Linked DNA regions of Callithrix jacchus. The protein of the gene in region 1 purifies or fractionates together with the protein of each later gene. This does not show direct contact. Links are inferred from orthologs where the notes say so. Each region holds a gene or a part of one and is shown on either strand. Other genes may lie near its edges.

What was found.
Region 2: the proteins of TSPYL6 (region 1) and PSME3 purify together in Homo sapiens (affinity purification with mass spectrometry; 3 studies listed by BioGRID and IntAct, counting the BioPlex papers as one, with this or other methods). This does not show direct contact. The link is inferred for Callithrix jacchus from reciprocal best matches to the Homo sapiens genes TSPYL6 and PSME3.

The regions. Positions count from the first base shown.
Region 1 is NC_133515.1:60,261,304-60,267,420, forward strand, and holds the start of TSPYL6 (testis-specific Y-encoded-like protein 6), read left to right. Parts: upstream 1-2,434; 5' UTR 2,435-2,512; coding exon 2,513-3,733; 3' UTR 3,734-6,117. Other genes in the region: ACYP2 (acylphosphatase-2), read right to left, coding at 2,088-2,183.
Region 2 is NC_133506.1:121,059,894-121,066,246, forward strand, and holds the start of PSME3 (proteasome activator complex subunit 3), read right to left. Parts: upstream 4,313-6,353; 5' UTR 4,227-4,312; coding exon 4,152-4,226; intron 4,064-4,151; coding exon 4,031-4,063; intron 3,911-4,030; coding exon 3,848-3,910; intron 3,650-3,847; coding exon 3,545-3,649; intron 1,405-3,544; coding exon 1,356-1,404; intron 966-1,355; coding exon 853-965; intron 332-852; coding exon 263-331; intron 124-262; coding exon 56-123; intron 1-55. UniProt on the Homo sapiens protein: Subunit of the 11S REG-gamma (also called PA28-gamma) proteasome regulator, a doughnut-shaped homoheptamer which associates with the proteasome. 11S REG-gamma activates the trypsin-like catalytic subunit of the proteasome but inhibits the chymotrypsin-like and postglutamyl-preferring (PGPH) subunits.

The DNA.
Region 1 (6,117 bases):
CAAGATTTCTACTTAACTGACTCTCTCAAGTTCTTTGACTCTTTGCCAAAACCTTGTCTTTTCAATGAGGTTTCCTCTGACCACCCTATTTCATACTGTAATCTGCTCCCCATTCCCTACCCCCAGAACTTTCAATCTTTGTTTTTTTCACAGTGCTTATAACTTTCTAATATGAAATATTGTTTTCTTGTTACCACTATTATCTTTCTCCACTGCTAAAATATAAACTTCACGAGAGAAGAGATCTTCCTTGCTATATCCAGAGAACTTATAAGAGTACCAAGCACACTATAGGTACCCAGTAAATATTTTATGTTTATTGAATATTCAATAAACATAAAAAATGGATTACATGTTCCTTGAAGGTTCAGTAGTATTTCCCTCAAAATCATTTGACCTTCATGCTATTTTTGTGGAAAGATTTTTTTAAGCTTGTGATTTCATTTATTTAATGTCTATTTATATTTAATGTCTATATTTATATTTCAGTCCATGTTGATAAGTTTTACATTTCTATGAAGCCATATATTTCATCTTAAGTTTGAAAATGTATTGGCATAAAGATGTCTAACATGCTGTCTTACATTTCTTTAAATCACCACTGTGGTTATATTATTCTTTCCAAATGTTTATTTTCTCTCTCCTTTTACTATCAATCTGGTTGATACTCTGTTGTCTTACATAACTTTCTCCTGTTTATTACTACCTTTTCTCTGTGTTCTTTGGCCTAACTCTATTGGTCTTTTCTATATTACTCAAATTATTTTTCATGATCAGTGGTACAGCACTTGCCAGTATTTCCAGATTCCTCCTTCTAGGCTCAGGAGAAGATTACACCTCCCTATCCTAGTAAAACTTGGCAAGGCCAACTGACTAGCTCGGGCCAATGATAGATGTCACTTTTGATGGAAACATCTAAAAACCTATGCATGGGGAAACAATGGTCTTTTCAATAAACAGTGCTGGGTCAATTAGATATTTATATGGAAAAAACAAATTGTGACCGCCCCCCATAACAATCATTTCCAGATGGATGGCAGATATAAATTTGAACAATCTTGGTGAGAAAAGATTTCTTTTTTCCTTCTTTTTAAAAATAGAGATGGGGTCTTGCTCTGTTGCCCAGGCTTGTCCTAGGCTCAAGTGATCCTCCTGCCTCGGCCTCTCAAAGTGCTGGGATTACAGGCCTAAGCCCAGATAAGATTTCACAAACAGAGCAGAAGAACACTAAGGTAAAAGGGGAAATGACAAATTGGCACATATTAATATGAAAAACTTTTGTTCCTCAAAAGGTATCATTAAGATGGTGAAAAAGGCCAGGGCGGTGGCTCATGCCTGTAATCCAGCACTTTGGGAGGCTGAGGTGGGTGGATCATGAGGTCCAGAGTTCGAGGCCAGCCTAGCCAATATGGTGAAATCCCATTTCTACTAAAAATACAAAGATTAGCCAAGCATGGTGGCATGCACCTGTAATCCCAGCTACTCAGGAGGCTGAGGCAGAAGAATCACTTGAACCCCAGAGGTGGAGGTTGCAGTGAGCCGAGATTGTGCTACTGCACTCCAGCCTGGGTGACAGAGTGAGAGTCCATCTCAAAGAAAAAAAAAAAAAGGTCACATAGGCCAGGCGCAGTGGCTCATGCCTGTAATCTCAGCACTTTGGGAAGCTGAAGTGTGTGATCACCTGAGGCCGCAAGTTCAAGACCAGCCTGGCCAACATGGCAAAACCCTGTCTCAACTAAAAATACAAAAAGAAAAAAAAAATTAGCCAGGAGTGGTGGTAGGCGCCTCTAATCCCAGGTACTCCGGAGGCTAAGGCAGAAGAATTACTTGAACTCGGGAGGTGGAGGCTTCAGTGAGCCGAGGTTGCGCCATTGCATTCCAGCCTGGACAATGAGAGCTAAACACCATCTCAAAAAAAAAAAAAAAAAGGTGAGGAGATAATATATATATTATACACACACACACACACACACACACACACACCGGAGTATATGCATTACATGTAATACTCTCCTCACCATCATTTTTTTCTTCCAGCATATGGATTACAAAGATCTTCTCCCACTGGAAGAAAAATTAGTATTTACCATGTAAAAAGGCTTCCTACACATCCGTATGAAAGACATAGAACGCCCGTCCAGTAGAGAAATAGAAGCCTCGGACACTGCACAAGAGAAGATACCCTAATGGCCAAAAAACACAAGGGAAGGTTCTCAGTTCATTAGACTTCGGTTAATGCAAATTAAAATCAACACGTAATACCATTACTCATCCAGCACAATGGCTAAAATAACTAAGATGAACAGGACACCACCACGGACTCGCGAGGCTGAGTGGTAAGTGTCGCGAGACTGAAGAGTGGGTGTCGCGAGACTGACGAGTGGGTGTCGCGAGACTGACGAGTGGGCGGCGCAAATGGTCGAGGTGTTCACTCGCCATTTTGTGTGAGGGACGCTGACGCTACACACGCCTGGCCTGGCCTCTCCCCACTGCAGCCCTGGCCGCTACCAACATGAGCCTCCCGGAGAGTCCCGGCAGCCCCTCTACTCTCGACCATGTCCTGGAAGACCCGCACCAGGGCCAGCGGCCCGGAGACGAGAGTGAGGCAAAACAGGTAATGGCGGAGACAGTGGAGAGCCGCTTGGAGTCAATCTTGCTCCCACCGCCACAGCTTCCAGAGGAAAGGGTCGCGCCTCAGGATCCCACAGATTGTGGCGATACTCTCCACATCTTGGTCAATGGGGGTCGCGGTCATGGAGCCATCAACGCGGGGCAGGAAGTGACTCCACTACCCGCGGAGGGCCGGGAAACAGCCTCTGCCTCCGCGGCAACTGACGGCAGCCTTAAAGATGGCTTTCAGGGTGAAGAGAGGCGCGGCCCAGGTGGGGAGAAGGCTCTAGAAACCTGTGGCACAGGGAGGTTGGAGTCTGAAGTGATTGCAGTGGGGAAGCCCGAGGACCTGGAGCCTGAAGAGTGCGCCATGCTCTCAGCCCCAGCTGATGAGAAGGCCGGAGGCACAGAAATGGACATGGCGGAAGGAAACCGCGCGACAGATGAGGTAAACATGGAGGCAGGGCCTGGGCCCCTCAACATGGATCTCCATCTGAACCCCCTGGAGGCCATCCATCTGGAACTGGACTCCATGAATGCCGAGGCTGACAGGGCCCTCCTGCAGGTGGAGCGCAGGTTTGGGCCGATACATGAATACTACCTGGAGCGGAGGAATGACATGATTCGCAGTATCCCGGGCTTCTGGGTCACAGCTTTCCACAACCACCCACAGCTGTCTGCCATGATTAGAGGCCAAGATGCAGAGATGTTAAGCTATTTAACCGATCTGGAAGTGAAGGAGCTCAGACACCCGAGGACAGGCTGCAAGTTTAAGTTCTTCTTCCGAAGAAACCCTTACTTCAAAAACAAGCTGATTGTCAAGGTGTATGAGGTCATATCCTACGGCCAAGTGGTGTCTTTTTCCACTCTAGTTATGTGGCGCCGGGGCCATGGACCCCAGTCCTTCATTCATAGGAACCGACATGTCATCTGCACCTTCTTCACTTGGTTTTCAGACCACTGCCTTCCAGAGTCCGACAGGATTGCTCACATTATTAAAGAGGACATCTGGCCGAATCCACTGCAGTACTACCTGTTGCATGAAGGCGCCCATAGAGCTAGACGTCGCCCGGTAAGGGAGCCAGTGGAGATCCCGAGGCCCTTTGGGTTCCAGTCTGGTTAACCTTGGCCTTTGGAACTGCTCCCGCAGAAGGTCTCCTGCCACCACCTGCTGGACCTGTGCTTGGGCAACAGTATTAGGTATGCCCTTTCCTGTTTTTGTTCTGACTTTTCTGTACTCTGTTTAAACTTTCCGTTCTCTCACCCTGAAGATTGAGACCTTGGTGGCTATGCTGCTCCCCTTTCGCCTGGTCTTCTTGCTGTTCTGCATTAACATCATAGGCTCCCAGCCGATGAGTCACATCCTTCTAAGCGAAGGATGCTGTAGACTGCACTGTCTTTACCTTTGTTTGGACTCTGTTTGTTCCCAGGACCTCTGGTCTGGCTCCTCCTACCTGGATTTCTAGCTGTGTCTAAGAATGTATTCTGCTCACCCTGTTCTGCATATGACAGTACAGGCGGCCTGTGGACAACTGCTAGGCATTGATGAAGTCAAGGAAGAACAGCAGGGGGCAGCTTGGTCTGCGTGAGTCATGGGACTCCCCATTACTTTTCCTGAGACTCTGGTCACTGATTGCTGCCTGCTGCTGGCTATGCCCACCACCTTGGGCAGCTCCCTGCTAAGTGAACATATTCCAGACCATTGCCAGCTCTACTCTCTGGTTTCTAATAAACAGGGATCTCCGGAACACTGGTGGTGGACACAGGTTTCCTGTCAACACACAAAAGACCCGTTCCTCTACCAAAAGATCTTTGAATTCTTCACCACCATACCCTCGTCACCCAGAAATCCTACTGTCAAACAAGTGGTTGAGGGGACATGATAGACCCTATCCTCATGGCAAGGGTAATATCTTGACAAGTACCAGGCTTTCTCAGCCACCATCAGTGGCCTCATTAAAATCTAGGTACCTTTATTTGCCTCCTTTCCTGTACCTAATAAAGTGCCAGAGTGGGTGTACACTTTCTTTTCTCTCATCTCTCTTCTGTCTTCCTTTTTTTTTTTTAAGTGGTAATTATGAAATACCCACAGAAGCAAGCCTTTTAGTTTCTTGGCTCTTTTTGTCATGTCCAGGGCCTCCCTCATCTATCTCTTCTGTCTTCCTTTTTTTTTTTTTTTGAGACGGAGTTTTGCTCTTGTTACCCAGGCTGGAGTGCAATGGCGCAATCTTGGCTCACCGCAACCTCCGCCTCCTGGGTTCAGGCAATTCTCCTGCCTCAGCCTCCCGAGCAGCTGGGATTACAGGCACGCACCACCGTGCCCAGCTAATTTTTTGTAATTTTAGTAGAGACGGGGTTTCACCATGTTGACCAAGATGGTCTCGATCTGTTGACCTCGTGATCCACCCGCCTCGGCCTCCCAAAGTGCTGGGATTACAGGCTTGAGCCACCATGCCCGGCCCTTTTTTTTTTTTTTTTTTTTTTTTTTTAAAGTGGTAGTTATGAAATCTCCGCAGAAGCAGGCCTTTTAGTTTCTTGGCTTTTTTTGTCATGTCCAGGGCAGGCTCTTCTATAAAATACACTGCCAAATCTCTTATTGCCCACTCTTTCTTTTCAGCCCCTCACCCCTCTTTAGCAATTCCTAGAGGTTTTAAAGGAATACAGAGCTGGATGGAATGAAAGGTGATTTCTAGTTGAGAGTGGATGGAAGAACTAAAGAGATTGTGATGGGTGCTCTAAGCATGGAAAACTGAACAAAAAGGCAGAGGTGAGGCAGAAATGATTCAGGGGAAAATTGGGCCTAGAATGAACACTGGGTTGACTTGAGATCCTGTGAGGAAGGGGAACTTACTCTGTTAGTTATAATGGGAAGAGAAGTACTTTTTTTTTTTTTGTATTGGGATAGAAGAATAGAAGATGGTTGGAATGTTAATTTATGTTGCCTAGAGAAGGGTTCTTTGAATACACACTGCAATTTTGGGTATCTTCTTTCTTGTTTGCATGTGGCCTTATTTATGTAGAAGATTAATACTGTGTTGTAACACTTTCTTTGTTTCTGTTTACTGGGAAGATTCAGCTGTGCAGAGTTACTTTCAATTTGGAACATTTGGAATAATATCGGTCTTTCTTTTTTGTACATTATAGAGACTTAATGTGGATATTCATGACAGTTTTCAGCCTGGTCTTGTTTCTGTTAAAACCATATCTTTAACATATTAATTTGAATAACCTGGTCTTAATCTGATGCAGAAGACTGGAAACTGTTGTGTTCATGGATAAATAAATTACAAAAAAATTTATGGTTCTTATTGTCTTTGTTGATAATTTATCCTGGTAACAACTTAGTAATTAATATGCCTGTTTTGTTTTGTTTTGTTTTTTGAGACGGAGTCTTGCTCTGAACCCAGGCTGGAGTGCAGTAGCGTGATCTTGGCTCCCGGCAACCTCCACCTTCTGGGTTAAGCAATTCTCCTGCCTCAGCCTACCAAGCAGCTGGGATTACAGGCG
Region 2 (6,353 bases), on another chromosome or scaffold:
TGATGCCCACCACCTCATCAGTCCCAGTGCCTGGGCCAAGCCCAAGCAACCCTACCTAGAAATCTGGTCCAGATAAGATGCAGCTTCACTCTCAACAGTTCTTAGTTCTGCAACTGTTTCCTCCTAAAACAAACAAACAACAGGTGCATCAAAAGCCATGTCATCCACAGCAGCCCCAAAGAGAAAGGGAAGAAAGATAAGGCAGGAGAGATGAGAGTATCTCCTAAACCTCTCTTCCTAGTTTGTGATGCAGGTACATTACCTGAATGGACACCCCAAAGTTGTTTCCATCTTCTATCCTGGGAATCAGGAGCTGTACCCACATTTTGACCTGGATGCCAAAACATATATGAGGACCTGTGCCTGAAGGCTGAAGCCATGAAGTACACAATTCAGACTGCTGGGGCCAGATGCCAGGAACAGAGAAGTCAAAATACCTAGTCTGGCCAGGCACGGTGGCTCACGCCGGTAACCCCAACAAATTGGGAGGCCAAGGCAGGTGGATCACCTGAGGTCAAGAGTTTGAGACTAGCTCGGCCCAGCATGGTAAAACCCCGTCTCTACTAAAAATACAGAAATTAGTTGGGTGTGTTGGCAGGTGCCTGTAATCCCAGCTACTAGGGAGGCTGAGGCGAGAGACTCCCTTGAACCCAGAAGGCAGAGGTTGCAGTGAGCCAACATGGCAACACTGTACTCCAACCTTGGTGACACAGCAAGACTCCATCTCAAAACACACACACACACACACACACACACACACACACACAAAACCTAGTCTGTCAATTCCCACACCACCCCTACACCGTTTTTTGTACTTGGGGGTGGCCCATAGGTCACTAGCCTGTGCCTCACCGTGTTACATTTTTCAATCAGCAGCCGGATCTCAGGTTTCACTTTCTCGATAATGTCCACCAGCTGCTGGTTGCTTTTCAGCATCCCATTGGGCATGACAAACACCTTGGTTCCTGGCAGAGATACGAAGGTCAAACGATCAGGGAAGAGGAAAGGACACAGTATCCCCTAATTTTTTCTCATTTTCTCTATACCGATCACATGCTACGACCTCTGCCTTCCATTTGTCACAACCCTACCATGACACCACTATTAGAATCAATGAGAATGGATGGAACAAAAGAACAACAGATGCACATCTAAAATAGGACAGAAGGCTTAAACTCTGTTTATTGGAAAACCAGGAACACTAAATAACGAGCACGTTTGGAGGAGCTGGGAATGCTGCTTCTGGGAAATAAGATTAGATCTTGCTTCCTGGTCAGAACACTATATCCATCCTGCTTCTCAGGGCTGCAAGTCAGGGGTGAGGTGAGGGGAGAGGAGGTAAGGGTGGCTCTTACCTTGGAAGGCTTCTTCACACTCATCCAACCTTCGCTTCTTATAAGTGGGCTATGGATACAAAGAGGCAGGGATGAGCCTGCTTTTGACACCCACATTTCCATCACAAGATACCCTTCAAACAAGTTTAATCCCTTCCTCAGCCTCACAGCTTGTGTTATTAATTTCTGTACAATTTCCTAAGTACATATAAAGCTTTAAGAAAAGGTTCTCGGAGGCTGGGCACAGTGGCTCACATGTGAAATCCCAGCTCCTTGGGAGGCCCAGGTGGGTGGATGACCTGAGGTAAGGAGTTCAAGACCAGCCTAGTCAATATGGTGAAATCCTATCTCTACTAAAAATATGAAAAATTAGCCAGGTGTGGTGGCAGGCGCCTGTAATCCCAGCTACTTGGGAGGCCGAGGCCGGAAAATCGCTTGAACCTGGGAGGCAGAGGTTGCAGTGAGCTGAGATCACACCACTGTCTTCTAGCCTGGGTGACAAGAGCAAAACTCTTCTCAAAAAAGAAAAAAAAGAAAAAGAAAAGATTCTTGGGCTGGGCGCCGTGGCTCATGCCTGTAATCCCAGCACTTTGGGAGGCCGAGGCATGTGGATTACTTGAAACAAGCCCAGGCAATGTAGGGAAACCCCATCTCCACAAAAAATACTAGCTGGACATGATGGAACATGCACCTGCAGGCCCAGTTACCTGAGAGGCTGAGGTAGGAGGATGGCTTGAGCCCAAGAGTTTGAGGCTGCAGTGAGCCGAGATTGTGCCACTGCACTCCAGCCTAGGTAACAGAGTGAGACTCTGTCCCCCCTCAAAAAAAGAAAGAAAAGGTTCTTGCCACAAAGCAAATTATGCTCTAGTTGGGAAGACCAATCTTTCCAGAAATACAATACATTAAGTATTATAAAGAATAGGAAAAAAGAACCAATCAAAGCAGGGAGGATAATTAAGGGAATATGTACAAATCTGCTGGTTCCACAAAGGAACACATTATTCAGTCAACAAACATGTATTTAGCAACTGCCATAGATGAGGATCAACACTAGGCACTGGGAATACAGAGAATAAGATAGTTCCTTCCAGCTGGACCACGGTGGCTCATGCCTGTAATCCCAGCACTTTGGGAGGCCAAGGTGGGCGGATCACTTGAGGTCAGGAGTTCGATACCAGTCTGGCCAACATGGTGAAACCCTGTCACCACTAAAAATAAAAAAATTAACCAGGCATGTTGGTGTATACCTGTAACCCCACCTACGCAGGAGGCTGAGGCGGGAGAATCACTTGAACCTCGGAGGCAGAGGTTTCAGTAGGTAGGTCAAGATCGTACCACTGTACTCTAGCCTAGGCAACAGAGTGAGACTCTGTCTCAAAAAAAAAAAAAGAAGATAGATCCTGCCTTCCAGATATACAAGTTCCATCAGTGAGGCAGTACTACAGACAAGAATACAGTATCATCAGTGTTCTAACAGCACGTGAACATGTGACTGGTAAGGACTAGGTGTTAAAAATGTAGAGCAAAGACGGTGATTGCAGTTATATAGCAAGAACAACTCTGTATCCCGTAATACTACTCAGGACATAGAAAAAAGGTAAGTAAAGTCTTCTTCAGAGCCATGGGAAAATCCAGGTAACCTGATAAAGCTAGTTTTCTTTTATTTGAAACTCACTCTAACACTGAAAATAGCATTAGCATATTGACTTCATGTCATAAATGAAACTCAGGGTCTAAAAGGAATATACGAGAGGCCCCGTGCAGTGGTTCACGCCTGTAATCCCAACTCTGGGAGGCCAAGGTAGGCTGATTGCTTGAGCTTAGGAGTTGAGACCAGCCTGGACATCATGGTGAAACCCCGTCTCTACAAAAAATACAAAAATCAGCTGGGCATGGTGGCGTACTCCTGTAGTCCCAGCTACTTGGGGGGCTGAGGAAAGAAAATTGCTTGAGTCCGGGAGGTCAAGGCTGCAGTGAGCAGTGCTTGAGCTGCCACAGTCCAGCCCAGGCAAAAAAAAAGTGACACTCTTTCTCAAAAATAAATAAATAAATAAGAAATAAAAGGAGTACACTAGAGTCAGCATGTCTATAACAGAGTCCTAGTTCCCAGGTCCAAATCCCACTGTTGCCTCTGTACATGTTGAACTGACAAGGAAACAGGACAGAGGACCGACTGCTCAAGAACACAAAGATAAACATAGGACACTTACACCATCCAGTCCATCATGGCTATTGGTGAGAAGAATGGGGTCAGGGACTGGGAGATTCATGTCAGAGTGGATCTGAGTTAGGTCATGGATGTTTAAGATTGGTTCCTGAAAGACACCCACCCCAAAACATTAATCTTTTCAAGTTGAACAAAGAAGTATTTGATTTGAAGGGCAAGAAATCAAAGTGCTTTTACAGTTTAAAAAAATAAAAAGAAGAAGATTCAACACACAATTTGTCCCGCTTGACAGTAATACCAGGGCCAAAAAAATTGGGGAATCTGAGGAAAGAAAAGGGTCTCTCACCTTCAGAAAACTATCAAGTTCTAATAACTTCTTTGGGAAAAAATTTGCCACCAAGTCTTCTGCCTAAAGAGGAGGGAAAATACAGCTGAATTAGTATCTGTGGGAAGGTCTCTCTATATAGATATCTCCTCTTTGGGAAACTCTCAATTAACCAACACCCATTTTTCTATTTATTTCACTCACCTCACTTGTGATCCGCTCCCTGAAAGAATCAACCTAAAATTAACAAAGAGAGCAATTGAGTACCTGGGGACAGAGGTAAGAGCAGGATAGAGAATCCCAAATCCAACTGTCTTTCCCTCACCTTGTAACTGTAATATGAAGCTGAGAGGCCCCCAGACTGCAAATACTTTATTTTTTTGAGGACCCATTTTTCCATCTCAGGAGAAGGACGCAGGGCTTGAGGGCAGCACCTGCCTGTCTCCTCTCCTCTCCCTCCCACCCTCCCTGTGTCTGAAGCTGTCTGAATTTCATAAGCAGACAAAAGACAGGTAGTTAGGGGAGATGTGAGCTCACAAACGTGCCAATCCCCACCCAGACTTGGCCTATGATACAAGGCAGACCACCAAGGGCAGGGGCAGTGCCCAGGGACGTTGCTGGGCTGGGGGATTTCCAGCTGTCACCGGCCTAAAGCCCTGAGTCCAACACGTGTCCGCGGAGGTGACCCCGGGACTCTTCATCATCAGACACGGTACAGAAAGCCATCCTATATTTTCTTCTCCCGCGAAGCCGACCCCAGGAGCTGGGGGCTGGGCTGAGCCGAGCGGAAGCTCAGAGCTGGTATCCCCAGGGAGACAAAGACGCCATGGGGAGTAGGAAGCCGGTCAGACTACTGGGGGATCAAAGTGAGGGGCAAAAAGGCCGGACTGGCGCCGCTACCTTGAGCTTCACTTCCTGATCCACCTTCAGCAACGAGGCCATGGCCGGGCCGGGCCGTGTCCGATCCGCGGGACACCGGAGGCGCTGTGGACTCCGGGGAGGGGGCCAGAGGTACCTGCGGAATCTCGGCTGACCTCGGGACCCGGCCGCCCTCGCTGGCTCACTCACTGCTCGCTCGTTCCCTCCCTCCGTGCCGCCCGCCCGCCCGCCGGCAGCCTGCTGCCTGGTCGCACTCTCGCTCGCCCTCCCGGCTTTCGCCGCTCACGCCGGAAATTGCGTCACAGCCAATCGCCGAGACTTCTGCGAGGTTGTGCACGTGCCCTGCGCAGCCGCGATGAGACTCGGCTTTGGACGCTCCGGGCGGGGTTCACAGGGTCCGGGCCAAGAGTCGGATAGGGGTGAAGTAAAAGGGAGAGCGGTGGGTGATGGTGCACTGAGAACTGAGCCTCCGAGAGACTCGGAAATGGTGTGACCCTCTGTTGGCCCGGAACTCGCCTTCACCGAATGGAATTTCTCAGCCGCTGCAATCCCGAGGACAACGCCGTCGCGCCCCAGTGACGTAGGCTCGGAGAAGTCGGGGACCCGGGTACTGGGTTCTCGGGGTGTAGTCCCTGATTCCCGCTGCCTCTGCCGAGCCTCAAGTGTTTAGGCTAGAGCGGAAACGACAAGTGCCGTTTTATCAAGCTTTCCTGATGCATTTCTCTTCCACTGATTCTAGCAAGCTTCCAGACCTCAAAGATACTATCTAATGGGCAAATTGACGGCCAGAGTAGGGTAGGGCTTGTCCAAGGCGTTTCCAGTACATTCTGAGCCAGAACCCGTATCTCCAAACTTCTACGGCAATGCTGTATCTATTTTTCTAATGGAAGCTTGAGACTATACATCTTCATTCACCCATTCATTCGACCTCTCGAGATTGGATATTTCGTTCAATAAAATGGGCCAGGGCACTGTCTCAGAACCTAGAAATATGTGAGTCACACGTAGACTAGAATCTTCTAGCAGCCACGATTAAAAAGTAAAAGAAACAATTGAACATTTTAGTTATGTATTTAACCCAATTTATCCAAGTATTTCAACAAGTATTCAACATTAAAAAAATCCAGATCTTATGCATTCTTTTCTCATACCAAGTCTTCAAAATCCAGTGCATATTTTATACGTAACTGCACATCGAAATAAGGTAACACCACATTTGCTGTCAGTAGCCACATGTGGTTGGTGGCTTCTGTACCGAACAGCACAGCTCTGGGAAATCAAAGGCAAACAAGACTCAAGGTGGCTGGTTCCATGGGGCATAATATTGGAAGAACACCAGAAAGTAAACTGACAAGGTAACTGCAAAATTTGATAAATGTTAAGAAATAAGTGGCAGACATGGAAAATACCAGAGATCTATTTTACATAGAATGGCCAAGGAAGGCCTCTTTGAACAAGTGACAATCTGTGATCTAAAGGATATAAAGAGGTTAGCATGGGAAGAATGAGAAGAAACTTGAGAGATCTAAGTGCAGCTCAGGTAAATGCTGTAGGAAAGAAGAGATTTTCTTATTGTCTTGAAGACAAAGAGCAGTGAGCTGGGGGTGAGGAGGGTTGTTAGTAAACAATCTAGATTAAGTGCAAAAGA